4 linked regions of the Arabidopsis thaliana genome follow. The protein of the gene in region 2 interacts with the protein of the main gene of each other region in a pairwise test. Each region holds a gene or a part of one and is shown on either strand. Other genes may lie near its edges. The genes, in order: HSI2, AT1G70030, AT5G24050 and AT1G74120.

Evidence for each region.
Region 1: the proteins of AT1G70030 (region 2) and HSI2 interact in a two-hybrid assay, tested with the Arabidopsis thaliana proteins (one large-scale study listed by BioGRID).
Region 3: the proteins of AT1G70030 (region 2) and AT5G24050 interact in a two-hybrid assay, tested with the Arabidopsis thaliana proteins (one large-scale study listed by BioGRID).
Region 4: the proteins of AT1G70030 (region 2) and AT1G74120 interact in a two-hybrid assay, tested with the Arabidopsis thaliana proteins (one large-scale study listed by BioGRID).

The regions. Positions count from the first base shown.
Region 1 is NC_003071.7:12,979,429-12,987,651, forward strand, and holds HSI2 (B3 domain-containing transcription repressor VAL1), read right to left. Parts: upstream 5,850-8,223; 5' UTR 5,297-5,849; coding exon 5,169-5,296; intron 4,910-5,168; coding exon 4,828-4,909; intron 4,731-4,827; coding exon 4,629-4,730; intron 4,542-4,628; coding exon 3,997-4,541; intron 3,908-3,996; coding exon 3,811-3,907; intron 3,725-3,810; coding exon 3,550-3,724; intron 3,429-3,549; coding exon 3,352-3,428; intron 3,258-3,351; coding exon 2,898-3,257; intron 2,804-2,897; coding exon 2,754-2,803; intron 2,637-2,753; coding exon 2,523-2,636; intron 2,403-2,522; coding exon 2,338-2,402; intron 2,054-2,337; coding exon 1,476-2,053; 3' UTR 1,000-1,475; downstream 1-999. UniProt on the Arabidopsis thaliana protein: Transcriptional repressor of gene expression involved in embryonic pathways, such as LEC1, ABI3, and FUS3. Repressor of the sugar-inducible genes involved in the seed maturation program in seedlings.
Region 2 is NC_003070.9:26,376,164-26,381,136, reverse strand, and holds AT1G70030 (Paired amphipathic helix (PAH2) superfamily protein), read right to left. Parts: upstream 2,497-4,973; 5' UTR 2,305-2,496; intron 2,282-2,304; exon of another isoform or gene 1,953-2,281; coding exon of another isoform or gene 1,920-1,952; coding exon 1,789-1,919; intron 1,695-1,788; coding exon 1,511-1,694; coding exon of another isoform or gene 1,481-1,510; exon of another isoform or gene 1,473-1,480; intron 1,195-1,472; coding exon 1,099-1,194; intron 1,018-1,098; coding exon 946-1,017; 3' UTR 758-945; downstream 1-757. Other genes in the region: AT1G70020 (transmembrane protein, putative (DUF1163)), read right to left, coding at 2,984-3,263, 3,370-3,767.
Region 3 is NC_003076.8:8,127,611-8,131,850, reverse strand, and holds AT5G24050 (plant-specific B3-DNA-binding domain protein (DUF313)), read left to right. Parts: upstream 1-2,448; coding exon 2,449-3,498; downstream 3,499-4,240. Other genes in the region: AT5G24060 (Pentatricopeptide repeat (PPR) superfamily protein), read left to right, coding at 121-282, 381-518, 607-900, 1,004-1,156, 1,273-1,368, 1,474-1,578.
Region 4 is NC_003070.9:27,870,134-27,875,292, reverse strand, and holds AT1G74120 (Mitochondrial transcription termination factor family protein), read left to right. Parts: upstream 1-1,960; 5' UTR 1,961-2,032; coding exon 2,033-3,370; 3' UTR 3,371-4,119; downstream 4,120-5,159. Other genes in the region: AT1G74130 (Rhomboid-related intramembrane serine protease family protein), read right to left, coding at 133-243, 434-553, 634-754, 1,287-1,606. UniProt on the Arabidopsis thaliana protein: Transcription termination factor required for mitochondrial NAD2 intron 3 splicing and normal membrane respiratory chain Complex I activity. Essential for normal plant growth and development. Binds to RNA but not to double-stranded DNA.

The sequences.
Region 1 (8,223 bases), on a different chromosome or scaffold from region 2:
TTATTGAAGAAGTTAAATCATATATTAAAGGTGGCCACATTAATTATAATCTTATTCATTCGGATGAAATCGACACCTGAAAAACAAAATTAGTTTATCAAATTGAAAAATTGATGATGCAAAGTTATAAAGCAAAAACAAAGTAATGCACACTTACCTAATGTCGAAATCTAGGTTCCTTTAACTTTGATACGAAATCAAATTTTTTTCAAGAATACATACTTACCTAAAGTAAAAGTAGACGGTTCTTTTGAAATTAGATTTTTCCGAAGAAACCGAAAGTATCTTTGTTTAGCCATTAAATCATGTAGTAACATATCTCTATCCTATCGGTAATGGATGAGGACCAAGAGCGAAGTACCATGTACAAAATTAGTTCAATAAACGTAAAACTTCAATCAATTAATAATCGATGAATTATTATTTTTTATATATTAATAATTTTTTATGACATAAATGATATAAATCAATAAAATAATTTTAAGAAGTCATTTTTGAAAATTCTATGTAAACATATTATCTCATCATATCATAAATTAACAATTGTTAAACTTATTGCTATATATACAACTTAATATTTATAATATATAATAGTATTTTATATATGACATCATATATATATATATATTATATGTAAAAACTTTAGTGTAGTATGACTTAATATTGTTTGTTTTTCTTAAGTTAATATTAATTCTGGTAGAGTTCATTTCAAATATGCTTACTACATGTAAAAAAGTTTATGTTGTTTTTTTATTCTAAACTTATTATTGTTTTTCTACTTGTAACTGTTTTAGAAATATATTGATTGTAAAGAAAAAATTGTTTTTTAGATATTATTTTTTTAATTACAAAATTAGTAAACCTCACTATAAATTAATAATTATTAAAATTATCGATAAATTAATATATTTATGAATATATAGAATTTTTCGTTTCTAATATTATTAATTTGTAGAGGTTTTATCGTAATTGTTTTTGGTAAAATGATTTAACCTCTTAATTAATCTCCTTATACCATTTACAAGTCTACTTCATGCAGTTTTCAACAACTGTCATAATTTGTGTTTAACAATATTATAAGAAACAACTTTTAAAAAAATTAAACCAACTAGGCATTTGGTTGAAAACAATTACAAAAAAAAAAATCAACTCAACTGTTTCATCACCAAGCACAAAGCTCCATTTGCCTTCTACAACAAAACCTAGATTAATGGAGACATACTATAAACCCCAAACTCAACACGATACCATAAAAATACAAAAACAAAAACAAAAAACAAAAGATGGGACATTGTCGCTGTTTAGAACCAGAAACTTATTTTTCCTACAACTATGACAGAATCAAACACAAAACTGTACTTCTCTCTCTCTCTCTCTCTCTCTCTTTCTCTTCTTCTTCTCCTACTCTTGGTCTCAGCATATTAATAAAACTGGCTATGACTTTGGCTTTTACCCTTTCCCTTTTTCCTTCCATATCAGCTTGAAACTCTCGGCTCTTCACGAACATTCTTACCCTCTCCTTCTAACTCTGTAACTCCTAAAACATCACTGGCGTCTTGAGCCACCACGCCCGAACACTGTCCTATTGCTCTTTTTCGACTCTCTTCTTTCTCCACCGCAACAGCTTCAACATCTTCTTTATTGTATGGATCACTGTTCAGGTCTATTCTCGCTGTGTTCACTTCCTTCTCCTCCTTACTCTTATCAGACTCAGCCAGTTCCATGTCCTTCTTCTTCTTATCTTCTGCTGCTGTTACATCGCGCTCCAACTGCTTCTTCTTCCTCCTCATCATAAGCGTCTTGAACCTTCTCTTCACGGTGCTACACACAGTGCAGCCACATGTAGGCTTGTGCCTACCTTTCCCACTTGGTGGCTGAATGCACACGATGCAAGAGCATCCAGCCCTGTGCCTTGGATGTCTGGTCGTGGTCGCTACCTCTGGCTCGCCTATTGTGTCTCCTAAGACTGCTGCACTCGCCAGTGCGTCCAAACCACACGGTTCTTGCTGACTTTTTGCTGCCTGGCTTTCCCCAGTTCTTCTCTTCTTGTGCTCTATATATATATGCATACAGTTAGTGTCTTGAGATTCTCAATAAGCTGAGATTATGAAAAGTAAGCTGCGTTCAGAAACAAATTTGCAGGATACCAAGCAAACAATCCATATTTTGATAAAATTCTAACATAAGGAAGGCGCAACATGCACAAATAACAGATACATATCCTGAATGTTTTATATGAACGCCAAACCATAAATTGCTCAGAAGTCACAACTACTTGGAAGCAGTCTAGATAATGAGAAAGAACCATGAGAGGCCAGGAAATAAAAGATTTCATACCTCTTCCTACTTTAAGAACATTCTCAAGTTCCTTCAGACTCTCCTCCGGTGCAGAACATGAACACCTATCAATGAATATATTATTAATTACAGTGACAGGACACTAGGGAGAAAAAAAAAAACTCTAAATGATCTTCGATTTAAGCGATCATGAGATTAAAGAAAAGACTTGTGAAAGTTCTTACCTACTCACATCCCAAACATTGTCTATACATGTCCATTTAAAGGAAAGAAGAGCATCTACAGGTAACCTTCTCCATTTAGAGCAGTCGTCGCAAGTTGCCCATCGTTCCTGTTCACTGGACCACAAAGAAATTTGTTAGTAAATCATTTGCAAGTATGGAAGTAAACTATAGGAGAAGATACGTTGCCATTCATTTTATTTTTTTACTTGAGAAGTGAAAGAAATAACTAACCCTGAAGGTTTTGTAGTGACTATAGTCCTCTTTCCAAAGACAGGAGGTTCCTGTGTATAACATTAACATGAACTATGACTTAACCAAGGATCAAGTTAAGGGTTAATCAAATGGTTGTAAAAAACAACATGATCTACCACGTACGTCATATTCTTCAATTTCTTGCTCCTCAATGACAACGATGGTAGGCTTTACACTAGGAGAGGGACGAAGCAAGTCCTGAGCTTCTTCCCAAGTGAGTCTCAGCTCCATAGATTCTTCACTATGCAAAAGAAGTCTCTTATTTTTTGCACCAATGGTTCGAGTTCTCTTCTTCTCTTTAACTCGTGTAGGATCATCACCTATCCTGCCCCCGTTAGTCTCACTGTTCAAATTCTCAGGCATACCATTCAACTCTTTCGGTATTAGTGAAATACACGAGGAACCATTTATGGAGGGTGGGTTTTCTGTTACACCAGACGATGATGTGTCCTCAGTTGATGTTCCGTTGGTGAGCCCACAACCCTATTTATAAATATTGTAACCGGATAAGAATGGAGCTAAGCAGAAAATAAAAACCAGCACATTCCTACAGAAACCAGTTCATAGAAACCCCAACCTGCATGTCTCCAGCATTAGCTGCCTTCCTGGAACCCATGATTAGTTTTCCGCCAGGATCAACCCGACTGAAAGTTACTGTAGAGGTGAAAAACACAGAAAACCAACAATAGTTTTAGAAAATGGTTCATGAAAATTTGATGTTAAAACCAGCAAATGCTTGAAGCTTTAGCTAAGACATGAACTATATTAAAAGTACCTGTATCACCAGCCTGTAGCATCATGGACTGTATGCATGGAGTGACACCTTCTAAAACATACATTCTACTATTGTTATTGGGCCAATATCTGAACTGGAACGTCCACTCCCTACCCCTCACATCTTGGATTTTCAAAGGAATGCCTTCGGATTGACTAATCGGAGGAAAATATGCCTATATACCAATGCAGACATCAGTCATAACTCTACAAAATATTTCAAGGACAAGAAAAGACATCACCATAGGAATGGGAAATTTACCTCTGCACAGGCTTTTGGAAGAACTAGACGACCAATGCGACCAGCATCACTGGCACTAAGAGTTTTCTCAAAGAGAGGTACAATGTTCAAATTCAAACTAGAATTTGTTAAGATAAACAATGAGTCACCAGAAGTCTGTCCAGAATAAAATATTTGGCAAAAGTACTAGAAGCAAATAAAGGATACTTTCCAGAGATCTGCTGAACCTCTTTATCCGTATATTTTGGCCAATACCGCGGAAGCAAGTGGCCTCTCCCTCGCCCTTCGACAGGAGGCCTTCCAATCCGCGCCTGAGCGGATTTACTAGCCACAGGAGGAGTTGAAATAGCAGGTCTTGATGGCTTTTGCAGTATATTAGAAGCAGAGCAATGGACCATGTTGGACTGAGAAGGACTGATGTGTTTCATTCCCTCGACAGCCTCGGTTGCAAAAGATGGGCTAAACGGATTCACAGCCAAACCCATATTTAAAGATGGCTGTAAAGGTGATGATTCATGCATTTCCCCAGCAGCATCCAGCCTATGCCCGGTGGTTGTACTTTCTGGACTCATTAGCTTACCAAACCCACGGTGAGGCATGAACTCTTCCCTTTTATCTCCGCCCATGACTAGTGGCTGAGAAAAGAGATCGCCTTCGTTTCTTCCTCCGCTTTCGCCATTTACATGTTGCCTATCAGCTAACGTTTTCATTGGCAATCTGCTAAAAACACCTGGATTCTCACCCCTTGTGTTCTGAAAAACGTGAAGACAGAATCCTTACAACAACAACTTACATATAATATACTCGAATACGCTGAACCGAGTCTAGTAAAAACTCACCAAATTGAGTTGATGGCAGCAAGCACATGTACTACAACCAACACCACCATAGTCCATTAACTCAATCGTTACCTTAGAAGCAATGCATCCACAATGTAGTCTCTGTCATCACAGAATCTCAATCAGAACAACAAAACATCACCACTAAACTCTATATATAGAAAAAACAAACATATTCACACAGTTTCAAAAAACGCACCTTGCTACACAAATAGCATTCCCTCCAACCAGATTGGTCCTTATGAAATTGTTCACAGAATAGAGAACTCTCATACGCAGATCTATAACAAAATCATTACAACCAAAGTCTCAATTTTTTTCCTTTTATGTACCAAAGTCACATATTTTTTCCCTATTTATAGATTAAAAGAGTCAAGATTCGCACTAAGAAACCATATACGTAGTCAAAAAAACAGAACATGAACAAACTAAGAGCTAAACAGAGAATCAAGAAGAGGGTCACGAAAAGATCGAGACTTTAGTCAAAAATCAAACGAAATTTGGAGTTTAGAATAGGAAATTAGAGAGATTGAGAAATACCCGCAACGATAACAGAGATCAGCGAGAAGACCAGATCGAAGAGGCCAACCTTTCTTCCATTCAACAGTAGAAGTCGTACCACATGAAGCGTTCATGCACATCTTTGACCCCATTTTGACTTCAAACATCACAAACTCCAAACCCCAATTCCAAAATCTTAAAACCCTAACACCACACAAAGAGCTAGAACAACGAATCGGATACGAAATCGACGTGAATTGATGAAATTGAAGGATTGAGGAAGAGACTAGTCATGAACATGCATCGACGTTGGTCAAAATCAAAGGTTCGTGTGTAGAGAGATCAGAGGATTGGTGAAGGACCGGCGGGGGAAGAGAAAGAGAAGATTTTGACGGCGAATTGAAGAAAGAAAGAGGACTGTAACGGCGAAGAAGAAGGCAACGAGGTTTTTTTTTTTTGGGTGAATTTTTTTTTTTGTTTCAATTTAATTTATCGATGTGAAAAATTAAAACTTTTATGGGTGAGATAGAGAGAGAAAGAGGGAGAGAGCATGCAAGTGAACGAAACGCATAAAATGCATGCACGACACTTGAAGACACACACAAAACTCGAAAAGTAAGAAAACTCGCAGAGATTTAGAACAGACACAAAGTGAAAGACTTTGGTTTTTTTTTGACTTTGTTAAGATATGTTTTTTTGGTATATAATATATATAGAAATGAAATTTAGGGTTGGTAGGAATCATATATTTTGGAAAAAAAATAGTATGGTGACGTAATTTTAATATTTGGTTATATGTATTCAACTAATTTATAGGTATTTTCCTTTCTACAGTTGGGGTATTATTTATATAAGGAAATATTGATTATTTCATCAAGAAAAGAAAGAATTATTCAATAGAAACATATATGTTTCTTTTTGCAAATCATAAATATATAGAGTGCATGCATGACACTAACACACACATGCACAAAAGACTTTGAGGTTCTTCTTTTTCTCTTTTGACTTTCTTGGTTTGTTATTGTCAATTACTCTAAGAAATCATTTTAATTTAAGTTTGTAAAAGTTATAAAAATTATCCTAAGAAAAGAAAATAATAGTACATAAATTCTACTTATCTAATTAAAGATTATAATAGAAATTTGCGATCGCGTACATGTATATGCTATATACTCTACCTGTCGTCATTCTCTGTATATGTATTCTAACCAAATTTGAGTTCCGAATACCCTAAAACTTAGAGTGGATTGAGACCGATAGATAAGTAAAAATTGACGATTCATATCAAACATGTAGTCTTATGGTAGAATATATATTCCAAAATAAGATACCAAATTTATAGAGAACTTGCAAACGAAATGGGAAGAATTGGTGGAATATAAACTAAAAATTCATTCTTGCTTAAATTGAATTTTTTTTTCCTACACTGAAGAAAATACCATCGACAAAAAGAAATATGCAAAAAATCAACACAATATATTTTGTAGGATTTGTTTATTTTTTGTTAATACTTTTGAAGGATTTGTAGTTAATTGAATATATATATATATATATAATATATTATGTTTTTTTTTTTGCCATTTTACTACATTTAACCATAACCTTGCTATTTATGGAGTCCAATAGTCCATGCGCATGATAAACATACAGTATAAGTGTTCACACGATTTTATATATGCATGTGATTTTCTGTCAAATAACACGTTACTACCCAAGAATATATCATCTATTTGTTCTAACTTTTACTCATGCATGCTCTATTCACTTCGTATTTCCCATTAAATCTTTAATCTTTTCTATCTAATTAGTTCAAATTTAAATCTAACTAAAATGACACCATATCTTTTGGAATCGCTCTCTTTTGGGTGGAATCTTCTATATTATCAACGAGCTACTATTAAGTTACTACGTTTTTTCACTCCCTTTTTTGACCTTATATATAGCTAGGCTTGTAACACCTATCGAGTAATTGACTACTGTTGGAACGAGTAAAAAACTTATAAGTTTTAACTCAGTGTAAAATGTCGCCGTCTGGTAAAAAGAGTGGTATTCTATGTATTATCCTAAATTTCATTATACACTTATGGAATTTTCTTGTTGACAGCAAAATATATAGACATAATCCTTTTTTGGATTTTTGCATATTTTCATATGTGGAAATAATCTTTTACCATGCAAAAGAGATATATAATCAACTTAGGGCCACTTTGCCCTTATCCTTGTAATAAATAGTTTTATTTTTCCCCCATAATTTAATTCATGAAACTGACTTGGATAGTCCGAACCACTAGATTAGATTCGCATCATACAAGTACAACTGGATTATAAAACTGAAATAGAAATTCAACTATAAAATTCAAAGCACGTAATGAACTTCTTCTTTTTTCACCTATTGTGTTTCCATATAATTCCACAAATGACATTTTTTAACTGGTAGTGAGGATAATAGGATATGATGATTCTCAAATTTCGAATATTTGTATATTGGTTGTTAAAAACATTCGGATAAGTCACAAACATATAAATCAGCATAACCTTGGAAAAAAATTACGTTTGAAATCTAGACTAATACATCCAATCCAATGATTAGTTTGAACTACATGCATAATTGCATACTAAATAATGATCAAGTATACTAAATTCTGGAGTTTGATATGATTAAGCGAAGCTTTAATGTTTCGGCCATGTGAAACCTCGTCTTAGAATAGTTGTCATCACGCGATGTTGGCTAACGTAACAAGAATCATCAATCTCGTACCACACATGTTGCACATGAGAAACAAACAGCCGCAATATTCTTGATTCACCTTTCTTCTTTTCTCTTTTAACCAAAAACATAAGCTGCAATATTCTTAATTCACACTCGGGACCAAAACATGTTAAAGAGTTATTGTTTTGTCATTGGTATTCAAACTCGTGATCTTGAAGATTTTTTTTTTCTCTGGTCACAACATCATAATCATGTTATTTTCTAATATTTATGTATACTTAGAAATAAATAATATAGTTAGGATATTTTTTAAGTAATTAATTAACATGCAAAGGATTTTGTAGGACGGCATGTAAGAAACAGAATCAACTGATAGAAACTGCA
Region 2 (4,973 bases):
ATTTTTAAGAAAATGAACTTTAACCTATACTTAATTATATGATATGTTATTAAAATTTAGTTAAAGATATAGTTGTTTTTAATTAATTAAAGTATTTCAAAACAATAATTAAGTATTTTCTTATTTTTTCATTTTTCTCTCTCTTTTTTAAAATAAATTTATCCTCCATATCTTATTTCAAAACAATAATCTCAAACTTGCTAACTCTCGTGATTGCAACAAATATCAATTAAATCATCAGATTTCACCATGTATAAAATCTAAAAGTTTTGAAATATTTAAGATAAAAATATAAAAGTTTGTAACTGTATTAGAAAAGAAATTTAGACAAATAAAGTAAAATAAAAACCATATATTAAAAGGGTTATAGAAAAAAAGTTGTAAAAGTTCTTTATCCTACAAAAAAAGTCTGGTTTTCAAAATTAATAACTCACAATTAAAGATGAAATGAGTAAACGCATCAGCTTGGATTTTAAAATCTGATAGCTTCTTCCCTGCATTCGACTTCTCTCTTGTTAGCATTGCATCTGATAGAGCTTTGGCTTCCACAGTTGAGCCACCTCAACACCTAGGCAATATTCTTTTGTTTGTATGGTTTGGTTCAAATTATCTTCTTGTACCGTGTCGGGTTTGTTGTCGTTTATTTGAGAATTTGTAATTCGCCGTTTGTTCTTTTAATTAGTGCAGCAACCTTTAACCCAAAAAAAAAGGTTTGGTACATTCTCACTAAGCATAATTATATTGTCTTAAGTAAATTGATAAATAATTTGTGTATTATCCATAATATTCAGTTTAAATAGTATAAAACAACTTGAAAAATTGAGTACTAGTTTTACCAGTTCAGCAACAAACTAATGATAATCCCCATTGAGTCAAATGGAAGCAGATAAAGTGGCTTTGAACCACAACTTGCATGGCTTCATTGTATACATAATTCATCATTCTTCATCCATAATGTGGAAGAAAGAGATGAAATTCCTCAAGCAAGTCTCGATGGCCTTGAAAAAGGATAGCCACCTACAAAATAATACATTACATTAAATCCAATACAAGAAAGATGGAAAAAGAAAAGGTAGTGAAACATATATATATATACACCTCCTGGTAGAGCTCAGCAACGCTCTTGTTTTCCTTTTTATGCGTTTTCAAAACCTCTAAAAATGAGTTGAATACATCATTGTTCTGAAATCTTGTCTACAGAAAAAATGATATTTAAGAGAAAAGTAAAAAAAAAAATTGTACAGAAAAGAGTAATATAATTTCTAGTAGGGCTGCAAAATAAACAGCAATAGAGAATACAAATGATATAAACCGAAATATTTACACCGAAACTAACCCTTAATTAAAACGATAAATCTGATATCCTAAATTTTAACACTAAAATCTAAACAAGTTTATTCATCTCTCTAAATTTAAATGACTAAACCTGTTTTTTATTTAGATTTTAGATCTTTTGGATCAAAATAATCATAATCAAACTCTAATTACTAGTATGATTTTGCCCAACTACCTTGACCTTGTTGACAAATTCATATGCTTCGTCAAAGTGAGCAAACTTCGAATTTGACGTAAGTTCGTCATCACTGAGTGTTATTTCAAACCCCGTTGGCAAGAATGTGTTGAAACCTAAGAGAAGCTCTGGTTGCCCTTTGAAGAGTTCTTTCACTTTTGATATGACGTCACATGTTTTAGCTCTACAATTAGTAAAAAAAAAAAAAAACAGTTTACCAAAACTTTATATAACTAAGAGCTGAAACTATTATGAGGGAAGAAGAAGAAAAAAAATACCTCTGACCTCTGAAATCCTTCATGATCGTAAGAAAACTATCATATATTTCACGATTATCTTGATATTTAGTTTTTACAAGATGGAGGAAATCAAGTGCATCGGTTGTAGTTAGCTTCTTATTTGCAACCATGGTTTTGAAACTGACAACTGGCAAGTGCTTCATTATCCAGAGGAAGAGAAAATAGATTAATGTTCGACTCCCAATATAAACAACTTTGAAAATCAATACAAGTCTTAAATCTCAATAAACGAATTCAAGATATATAAGTTCAAAGAAAAATAATCGAAATTATCCCAAAAATTCATACAACCAGCGCAGATCTAGCAATTAGAGTCATAGAAAACATTGCAAGGGAATTTACAGCTATCGACCAGAAGATTTGAATCTAACTTACTCCTCAGATTATGTCACACTATATTTTGATCTAAGAATTTCAGTATAGAAACAAGATAGGATCAAAGTGAAGAGGATCGATCAAAGTTCGCTAGGACACAAGTATTGATGGACACGTTACCTCACACGTAACAGGCTTACAGGAAGATACAAAAGACTTGACAATTGACACAAAGAAAGTCGTAAGGTTTTAGGTTTATAAATAACTACATGAGTCATATAAAGATACTTAATATCACGTACGTTAAACATAATCTTTTTGTTAACATAACGATTCGATTTTCTCTCCTTTATATGGATTTTTTACTCTTTTTCTTAATATACCAAATACTACTTTTATGAGTCTTATCCAATATTTATAGAAAGAAAAAAGTAGGCCTTCAGATTAAAAACAAAATTGATAAGTCCAAACCGAAGTTTGTGCAAATCGGTTCTAGTTTGGTTATTAGATACAAACCAATCGGTAGATTTGATTTCGAAATTTAATTATCGGTTCGGTACGTTAAACAGACTAACTAAATAAATTTTTTAAGTTGATGTAATGATTAACTTATGATATTGATGTAGTACCATATGTTTAAATAGAATCTTTTTAAAAAATAGTATCTTACTATGAGAGTATAATTATTAACGAAAATAATAATACATTAGAACAAAGTATATTCCATTGAAGCCAAAGGAAAAAAAAACAAAAGCGCATTGTGTTGTTTAAGTTCTTTCCTACGATATCAAAAGGCAAAAGAAGAAGATCCAACATATGCAAACTAAAACATAAAAATCATTATTGATGAAAATTTTACTTAAGTGTGAATATAGTGGCATATAGGAGCGGCGTTTTCAAACGCAGTTGCCTTCCTTTGAGAGCCAGGCTCAAACCGAACCGCAGTTTCATCACACGTATAGTTCATCTTCCTCCCAGATCTACAATCCGGAAGAAGCAACCTCGATCCGAACCGCATGTCTCTTCTTTCCTTTATATCGTCCATAATGTCTTTCACAACAACACTGTCCATATCTCCCTCAGAAGCAATTACCGATGAGGTATTAAGCAGCTGAGGCCAATTTGGTATCAGATTGTAACTGATAGAGCATAACACAAAAAAGTTCAAACAAAAATATATGAACAAACGAAATTAGTTAAAGAAAAAAAAAAAAAAAGAGTATTGAAATTTTTAAAAAGTGTAACCTGTCTAAGGATGAATTAGCAATGGTAACACCTTTGTAAAGTATGAAAGTCTGCAAATCTCCTTTGAGACACATATAGTAACCAGGAAGATCTGAAGGAAGCCTGATCACTAAATCCCATTTAACACTAAGACTAGTCTCGGTTAAATTAAGGACTGTGAAATCCATAGATGGTATTATAATATCCGGTGCATAGTTTTCTATACGTTGTTCTTTACGCCGTTTTTCACGTCGTTCTTGTGCTGATTCAGAGTAGGCATAAACGATAATTGCAGCGGTTGCGATAGCGATCAAAAAAACCAAGACACACGTGAACACATACTTTTTTTGTCGTGGTGTAAGTCTATCCCATAAAGTGGTGGATTTAGGAGCTATTATTTCTCCGTTTTCATAATCCATTGAAACCCAGAGAGAGACGGATAGAGAGATGTGTATATGCACCAGATTTATGTATCTTTTTTTTGTTAGGGTTATTAAAGAAAAGAGTTGGTATATTGTTCTTATAAGAAGATTTCGATAATTACATATCAAATTTTTTAAAAAGATTTCGATAATTACATATAAATTTTTAGATTTTGGTAAATAACTTTCTTTTCGCTAAAGATATTTTAGATTAAATCAAATAGTAATCTTAGCGTTAATTGGCTATGAATCGTCGGACAGAGAAAACTTCTCAAAGGATAGAAATAGGTTCTTTATGTTGGGCTTTAGATCGTTAATGGGCCATAAAACGTTAAGACTCGGGACTTTGGGAGTGCTCCAGCTTGTTTGGCTACGAATCAAAGAAGCAGGCTAGAACGAAAAATAAATCATATGATGATCAAACATAGTATATTAGTTTTATTATCGGCCAAGATGCTGTAATTTGAGATGTTTCTTAACAACTTTCTATTATCACCTCGCTACAATTTTACCATTCTTTACCGCACCAATTTTTTTTTTTAAATAGCCAAAACATTTATTTTTGTTTACCAATTCGTTCAATAGTGAAACTTGAGTGAAATTTTTATAAACTTTGTTTAGGGAGAAAGTATTAATTGTTAAAAATTCTAAATAATACAGAAAAAATGTTGGATATACGAATCATACCATGGATAATTTAGTAGCACCTTATATTATAATCTTCAGAATATTTTGTAGCATTAGAGAGATCAACTAAGAAAACAGTGTTGAATTCTATAATTAATATTTTGAAACACACATTAATTTGTTTAATTTTTTTCGTACCGCCGCATCTCAAACTAAAAGTAACCAGTTGTGTATACCAAAGTATGGTCTAGTCATGAAGATGACAATTAGAAGCAACTAATCAACACCTTAATCTTTTCTCGTACTTGATCTCGTATCCCAACATATATATTAATTATCTTTCTTTCCCTCACACACCACACGTACATGAATATGTATATAGTGTATATACTTTTTAAGTAATGTATGTCGAATTAAACTCCAAGAGAAAGATATTCGCGTGCTTTACAATAAGATATACTTATAAATTCTTACTTATAAATTCTTTTAAAGGACCTAAAAACTGTTTTTTTTTTTCAGGTTTTGGAATGCCTTTACTCTTATGAAAAGTAATTTCGAATTATCCGTACAATATAA
Region 3 (4,240 bases), on a different chromosome or scaffold from region 2:
TATGTTTTTCTTTAGTTTAAATGATTCTGCTGCATGGTGTTTTCTTTACAGTTGCTTTTGTTCTTTTCTCTATTCACTTGTATGGAGATATAACTGTGATAAGTGACATTTGCAATGCAGCAAGTAATAGTAGGTTTTGATACGATGGAGATGATCAAGGACATGGAGCTGAGCAGTCCATCTGGTATTGGTTTTGGGATTGAAGAAATCGAAGATGGTGAAAGTGAAGTTGAGGATGAAAACAAGGGCGATGAGGATGAAGGAGAAGACAAAGATGACGAGGTTTGAAAAGCTTTCGTGGTCTTATTGAGGAACTTCACATGGAAAAAACCTGTCTTATGCTTAGCATGCTTCACAATATACTGTGTTCTTGACTCCAGGAATGGGTTGCTGTTCTAGAAGATGGAGATGACGAGGATAACTATGTCTCAGACTCTGATGAATCACTTGGAGACTGGGCAAACTTGGAAACGATGCGATATTGCCATCCTATGTATTTTGCCAGGAGGATGGCCGAGGTTACTTGCAGTCCAAAAATTGATTTGTGATTTATCAAATATCCACCATGTGAAGACTATAAAACTTAGTTTCTTTATTGAAATTTAGGTTGCTTCAACTGATCCTGTAAATTGGATGGATCAGCCGTCCGCTGGCCTTGCTATCCAAGGGCTCTTGAGTCCTGTCATTGTGGAAGATCACTCAGATATCCAAAAACATATCTCTGGTTGTATATCTACAGGCACTGACAAAAACAAGGAGAGAGAAAACTCAGAAGAGATATTTGAAGGCATTGGTGAGAATGAATCTGAGATATTGCATGTTGAAAATTCGAGAAATGCTATACAGTACTACAAGCTGGAGATAATAAGAATCCAGCTCATCACGGCACAGGGGCATCAGGTTACGATAAAGCCTCTCCCTTTTTAATATATACTCTTTAAAAGGCTCTATGGAAGTTTTAGCTCATGCATTTGGTTGGTTGTGTATTTTTGCTTTTGAACAGACTGAAGTGGAAGTGGAAGACGTCAGGAAAGCACAACCTGATGTTATTGCTTGTGCATCAGATGGTATACTGACTCGTCTAGAAGAAGATGGCGATAAACTAACTGAAGCTCTCAGATCTCTGTGTTGGAGAAATAATGGGATTCAAGCAGAGGTAAAGAAACTGGAACTTTACGTTACATTACTGGAATTTCAAAACGAAGTTGTTGTATAGCTTTCACGACTATACTGTGACAATCATGATTATATCCATATGGTGTTACAATGTAGGAAGTGAAGCTCATTGGGATAGATTCACTTGGTTTCGACCTTAGGATTTGCTCAGGAATGCAAATTGAGACATTACGGTTTGCATTCTCGATAAGGGTATGTCGATTTTCGTTTTCTATCTTCTTAGACTCTGATTAGTGAACAATGATAATACATACGATATCACTTAGATTAATGCGGCCTGATAACTCTGTGTTGCAGGCAACATCAGAACACAACGCTGAGGGACAGTTGAGAGAATTATTATTCGCTTCTACACCTTCCAAGCCGCAGAAACCAAAACAAACGAATCAAAAGGAATCTTAGAGTCTTAATAATGTAGCTACAAGAAACATATTCAAACTGCAATTTCTCGTGTATCAATGAAAGTGCCCTCACCAGTCAGACATGAACTAACACTCCTGCTAACGTTAAAGATCGTTTGTGGTCAGACAAGCAATTTCAAGGTTGGCTTATTGGAGATTGGTGTGTGTGTGTGTGTGTGGGGGGGGGGGGGGGGGGTCTCATGTTGTTTCATTGTTTTCCAATTAATTCTTGACACTGTTTATACATAAATATATGATCTTCAAGTCTAAGGGTTAATAGACTTATTAATTCTTCAAGTCTCTGGGTTAATATAGTTTATACAATTTATACAGAAGACCTTATTAATTCTTCAAGTCTCTGGGTTAAGAGAGCATTGAAATTTATCCCAATTTATACATAAATATATGATCTGTCCAAATAGTTTTACATAAATCTCATCTCTTTATCGTAACTCTTATTTTTGTATTTTGTCACTAATAACTTTTTTACATTCATAAAACCCACTTCAAAAGATTGTATCTTAGTTTAGTTGTTTAATTACATTTGTATTCATAAAGTGAGAATGAGAGACTCTCACACACCTAGAAAAAGGAAATACCGAGACAAGGACTATATCGTAATTATAAGGTTAGCTATTAACGAAAATAAAATCAGACAACGGCTAATTAGTTACTAATCACAGTAATTAAACAACTAAACTCAAAGAAAAAAGGAAACCCTAAATTTGATGTAAGCAGAGAGCGCAAGTATTATTATATAATGCAATAGAGACTCTCTCATTCTCAGTTTCTCTCAGATTCTCTAATTTCCTTGTGTCTCACGATTTGCTCTCAGAAGAACTTGAGTTTTCGATTCTATCAAAAATTCACAATGACTAGTATCTATCACGATGATGACGATCATCTCACGGCTTCAGGTAAAGACCTGTGGTCGAATTTCTGTGTACTGGTTGATGCGGCGGTTATGTTATATGAAGAAGAAGAAGAAGAACAACGTCGTAAGATTGTCTCTGAAGAAGAAGAAGAATTCCAGAAGAGAATCTTTTGTCTCTTCCCGAGAAAAACAAGATCGTCTTTGGTGAAGAGACAACAAAATCTTATTAGGGTTTCTACTTCTTCATCGCTTATCGATCTTAACCAGTTCCCTACCGATTCTGAGATCGAAGACCCACAAAACCATCTTCAAGGGCTATCCTCTTCATGTTTCATTGCCGCTAATTCCGAGACAAAAACATTACAAAACCCTAGTTCAGAACCTTGTTCTTCACTCGGACTCTTTGGTCACAAGACGGCTGAGTACCAAAAGACGGAGACGAAAGACCCACCAAACCCTAATTTCCCATGTACTATGTCTTTGTGCCTAATGGAGAACACAAGCCGCAAGAGACGTGCTGTGGAACAAAGGAAGCGTAGTGGTGGAGTCAAGAAAGCAAATGTTGCTCCTTTTTCACAAACGGCGAGAGAGACACCTGAGTGGCTTGTCAAGGTGATGACAAACATGAAAGAAGCCAAAGACGCTAAATTGATCTTTGAGAAGACTCTGTTCGTGACTGATGTAAACCCAACAAAGAACCGTCTCTCAATGCCTTTCAACAACTTACTCCGAAACGATTTCCTGACGTCTGTGGAGTCCATAATCATAAACGAAGACATCAACAACAATAACAAGATTGGAGTGGGAGCGATTCTCGTGGATCAACGGTGTAAAAAGTGGGGTGTGATGTTAAAGAGATGGGAGATGAAGAAGGAATCAGGTAAAGGAAGCTGGAGTTACAATTTGATTTGTGGGTGGAACGACATCGTTGAGGCTAACAGATTGAAAGAAGGCGACAACATTACTCTTTGGTCGTTTAGGTGCTGTGGAATCCTCTGCTTTGCCATGGAACAGAGTAGCTCTTCCCTTGCTCTCTGTCTCTGCTAAGTTTCTTGTGTCGGTTGAGACTATAACTTGATTGATCAACACGCACAGCGATCTAATTTCAGGAGATTCTGGACTTCTTTTTTGTCTAAGAGTTTGATTAAGAAAATTAGTGTTCCTTATTAGTAACTTGTTCCATATATTGTTTCAGATCATTATAACCGTATGTACTATAGTATGAAAACTTAGCATTTTTGACATGAATCTTGTTTGTTGTTTGGTCTACTTTAGTTACTGCATTGTTACCTTTCGATTCCTTGTAATATATCTCCAAGTCTTATTTTGTCTAATGAAATTGATCCAATCAATAAAAGTGTTTTTAATACATTCATTAGAAATGCTCGATACAATCAAAACCTGTGTTTTGTTCTACTCAGTAAGAATCTGATTTTGAAACTCAAGTATGAAGAGCAAAATGATCAAATCAGGAACCAAATTTGTTGCCAAGACAGGTTTTGCTACAATTGCTTCTTCAGCCACTTGAATAAGTACACCGTACTTGGACGTTGATTAGCTCGATTTTCTCAGCCTTAATAGCAAACACAACGTTTCGCTTCCGCACATCTATAAGATCTCGTTTTCTTGTCTAGGATCTTGTCAGTTTATGATTAATGTAGAAATTCTGAAACTACAATACAAAAATACAAATCCTAGGTGAATTATAGTTTCGAAAATCCATATTAAAAAAAAAAATCCATATAGATTATTTAAAATACACCAATCAAGTGTTGGTTATTTTCGGATT
Region 4 (5,159 bases), 1.5 Mb from region 2:
GGTAAAGCATTTCGTCTAAACCTCACAAACACATAGAGAACATGTACGTAGTACAAATGCACTGGAAAAACTACACATCTGTGGACCTAGCATGGTTAGGAAAATGAGAAAATTATGCTTGTTGCACTATACCTTGAGTGATATAACCGAGAGAGCATGACTACTCAAGAAGAAAACAGAGCCACCAAGTGCTCCAGCAAAGTAGAGCTTCAAAAGGTAGCGCGGCCCAAAGCTTCTTGCAATCTAAGAACAAATGGGATTCGATATAAAGATCAATAGGTAGCAAGTTTTTCTTTTTAAACGAACTAAGGACGGTCCTTAGATGAGCCAGATTAAGTGTAAGTAGCCGGTTCATACTTCATAGGAAACAAATGAAAGCATTTCTCATTTCGTTTACGAAAATTAATATATGGAAACAAGGAAAAAATCTTACTCTGGCTCCGAAGTAGCAAAGCCCCATCATATTCAAGATGATATGAGTGGCTCCAACATGACTGAAACCCGAAGTGATCAGCGTGTGTATACGTCCAGTCATAAAACTGTACCTTGATAACTGTCCAAATACCATATGGTTAATAATACATGTAGATTTTTTATTTTTAAAAAAGTTGTTAGAATTTGATGAGGTCAGACCATAAAATTCTTCACCATCCACATATTGTCCTTGCCTAAAACCCGCCACATTGTAAATACAGCAGCATTAGCTATTACCAATCCAAAAACTACACCATTAGCTCCATTAATCCAAGACTTCCTGCCAGAGTTAAACCAATAAAGTGGTTTTTTCTTTTTGGTATTAGTATCCAAAATCAAATGGAGCAGGTAAAGAATCTAAGATTTTTGATGTAGGAGAACAATTTTTTAAAGGAGAAGGTCTAAACAGTGTCCAGCTTGCTATTCTATGTCTTATCTATAAAGAGAAAAGCATCAAAAGAGCTTTGTGCTGCTCAAAATCAAGAACTACGCAGAAATGGAAGAAAAAAAAAGCCTACTAATTTCTCTGAATCCTGACACGTCTTTTACTTGGAAGAGCCAAACGTACAATTGACCAGAAAAGCTAAAGAGAGTTGTGAAAAAAGGTCGATGCTTTACCAAATAAATCCTGTCAAACCCAGAAATTTTATGGTGAAGACAAATTTATCTTTGAAAAATGTAGTTTTTACTTGGAAACAAATAGGTACAATATAAAACAGAGGACCATAGAGAAAGGGGAACTCAGAATTTTTCTTAGGAAAGGTTCCAACTTTACTTTGAAAAACAAAAAGGGAGAGGAAAAGAAACGATACCATCCACGTTTTTGAAACCCAGTAAAACCACCAGACTCGAATCCATGACTAGGAAGCTCAGAACTGAAGAACCCAGCTCTAGATTCCATAACATTTCCGAATTTCAGCTTCAGATTGGTGTTTCCCAACTTCCCTGCGAAGAATCCATGAACTCTCGCCGATCGTGATACAACATAAGGAGGAACAAAGCGGGAAGAGAGATCAAAAGGAAGAAGATGGCTCAGGGAATGGCGACTCTGGCTCGCCTGCTTCGTCACCAATTTGGTTAGCTGCGGGGAAGAGCAACCGACGGCGACCCTGCGACAGAAAATCGCATGCATTTCGAAACTAATTTCAAATGTTTTACCAAATGGCGCAAAAATAAGAGAATAGCATCAACTTCTTCTGATTATTCATGAAAAGTGTGTGTTTCAAAAACTCAGGTCTTTTAAGTGCAATAAAATAGTGATGTAAATGTAACAAGAAGTAACAACTTTCTTTTTTTAGGTAAACAAAAGATTCCCTCCGGTTTAGGGAAATTGTAAATATACAACTTCCAACTTTCATTAAACCATGACGTTCCCATCTCTAAACCACAATCCCACTCAAGACAAGGTTAAATGTCTTACAAAACAAATAGTGGGTGGCATTTTCGGAATAAGATGAAACATTGAGGGTACAAATAATAATCTTAATTTTGTACACGTCGTCATCGTCTTTCTTCCTCCTTCGTACAGTGATTGAGTGCCTTGAAACTAAATAAAAAAATGGCCTCAAAACTCAAAACCTTCATCAATCTCCGTGACTACCCAATAACCCTATTCAACCAGATTCGATCACTATCCTCACGAATTCTCACACCTATCAATCAATCTCACTACAGGAAACGAATTTTACTCGCGAATCTCCTTCAGAGGTATGGTTTCCCTCCTTCTTCTCTTCAGCACTTCCTCTCAAGAAACAATCACCTATTGAATTCGGACTTAGTAGAAACCGAAATTTCTCTCGGCATCCTATTGTCATTGAAAATCCCTCAGAAATCACTCGTTTCGTTGATTTCCGATTGCCCTAATGTTCTGCGATCAGAGTTTCTGAGGAAATGGAGAGTTCCTCTGTCTAATTGCGGTAAACACGGTGTCGTCTCATCTTCTGCGATTAAGAGCGTCCTTGAACATTCTAGTAGAATTGGGATTGGTCCAGATAAGTTTAATGAGTGCGTAAGGGTTTTGAAGAGTTTAGGGTTTTGTGATAGTACTGTGAGTAGGATTTTAAGTTCATTCCCTGGTGTTCTTTTAGTGAATGAGATTGAAATTCGTAGGAAGATTGAGTTTTTAGTTGGAATTGGCATTGCTCGAGATAACATTGAGAGGTTCTTTCACGTTTTTCCTGAAGTTCTAGGGATTGGTACTGAGACTAGACTTAAGCCATTGCTTGATGAGTTCATGAAGATGGGGTTTAGTAAGGATGATGTAAAGAAAGAGATTGCTAGAGAACCGAGAGTTCTTGGTTTGGAGTTAGGTGAGCTTCCGCGGTGTTTGGAGTTGATCAACACATTGAAATGCCGGGAAGTGATTAGAGTTAGTATAATCAGCGAAGGAGCATTTCGTGCTGGGTTTGAAGTGAAGCTCAGAGTTGATTGTTTATGCAAATACGGGTTGATTCGTAGAGATGCATTCAAGGTTGTATGGAAAGAGCCGAGGGTGATCTTATATGAGATAGAGGATATAGAGAAGAAGATTGAGTTTTTAACTAACAGAATGGGATTTCATATCAATTGTTTAGCTGATGTACCGGAGTATCTAGGGGTTAATCTTCAGAAGCAGATCGTTCCACGGTACAATGTCATTGATTACTTGAAACTAAAAGGTGGGCTTGGCTGTGATATTGGATTGAAAGGTTTGATCAAACCAAGCATGAAAAGATTTTATAATTTGTACGTGATGCCATACCCAGAGTGTGAAAGAATCTTTGGAAAGAGAAAAGAGAATGTCCGAGTGAATAAACGACATCCCGCAGGGCTTTGGAAGCTTATGAAGCCGCCTAGCAATCTAACAACAAAAGAAGATGTGCAGAACATGAAGTCCTTTATAGAGTCACTTGCTTAGTATGTTGGATCTTGGACTTGCCTCTTACTAGATTGAAAGAGATCGGCCACTCTCTAGAGGGTTCTTGCTCCCTCACTTTGCTATGAGCTGCTCTGAATTGATATGGGTTATCAGGAACTTTCAGTGACTATCGAATCTGATCTCAACTCGCTCGAGTTCATGGCTTGATTATTCAAAGGACAATGCATACTCCTGAATAAGCCATGCTCACTTCTCGTTGTGCATCTTGGGAAGACATCTACCAATGCCATTGCCTTCGTTTCCATGTCTCTGCCTGATAGATTTGCTGAGCAAATGTAATTGGACTTTGGTTCTAAAAAGTCAAGTGCCATGTTCCAACTTCCAACTGTAACTACTAGTTAGGGATGTTACGTGGGCCGAGCCAGGCCGGCTAGTAGCCCGTTTTGGCAACTTTTATGCTAGGCCGATTCATCTGTTCCGTGATCCATCCCAGACAAACCATTTGTTTTTGGCATTTATACCAAAAATATTTGTTTCCAACAATTTTTTTTCTTAAACATTATTTTCAAATGTTTTACGTAAAAGCTCTGTTAACAAGAAACTTAGATTTATGTATGGAAGAATTGGTTATACATGAGTCAGTAAGTCATGAAATCTGTATAATGGGAAGAAGTTAATCAGTTAAATCTTATTTATTCCAAGAGGGTGATTGGAGAAAAAAAGAAGAAGAAGAGAGTTATTGGTAACTAGTGTTATTTATGTATTAATGAAGAAGAGAGTTATTGGTGTTATATATGTATTAATCAATCACAAATTGTACTACTAGTTAATTATGTAAGTAAAATCAATTGAAATGCAATATTAAATTTCCATGAAGATTTTAATTATAGAGAAAATTAAACTTTTCTATACATAGATAGATTACATGGTTCAATAAAAATTATTGTGAATAACAAGAAGTATTTAAAAAACGAAACTTATACTCTAAAAAAAAAAAAAAAAAAAAGACCAAGTGTTAAAAGGCTTGTAATGTAAGAAGCGACAGTTGGTCAAATAACATCTTTGACTTGGTCAACGTATTTTAACAACGGTTTTCTGTTAGAAATGGACTAATAGTATTAACTTACAAAAGACACACCCGATTTGTGAGTTGTGACATTTGCTTTGTCCTTAAGTATCACCACAAGCCAGCTTATATTGTCTCTATAGTTAGACAACCTTTGACCTTATTATACATACGTATATATGGAGCTTTTTTTTCAATTTCATATGGCATATATTTGTGTCACTGTGTGTGTGGTATCAATGTTCAAGGGAGACAGTTTTGTGGTTAACGAGGTCGATGCTTTGTTTGGTCCATACCCTGCATCGTCCATGGCCACCATATTACTATGTTTCGTGACGTAATTGATGATATGTATATCAAATTTCAACTCAAACTAGTTGAATATGAATGATGCAATTATGCACATTGATTTACAGGCCAGCGCTGGATTTAATATCCATTGAGCAAGTTATGAGAAAACAGTGGTCAATTAGTCAATTACCATTAAGTTCTTTTGAAGAGTCCAATATGGAACAAGATCAAACAAATTATGAGACTACAAAGACTTATGAGTTTATAACCAACTGAATTAAATTTCTATAAACAGACTCTTCCCTCTTGCACCTACTTCATCTTCTTTCTCTTACTATGTTTCTTCAATAGTCTTGTAACTGATAATATATGACCATTGAATGTAAATCAAACCTCTGTGTAAGTTGATTTATATCAGTTTCTGTCTATAAACTAGACTATATAATATAAGCCATCCCCCGGACGGTTTTA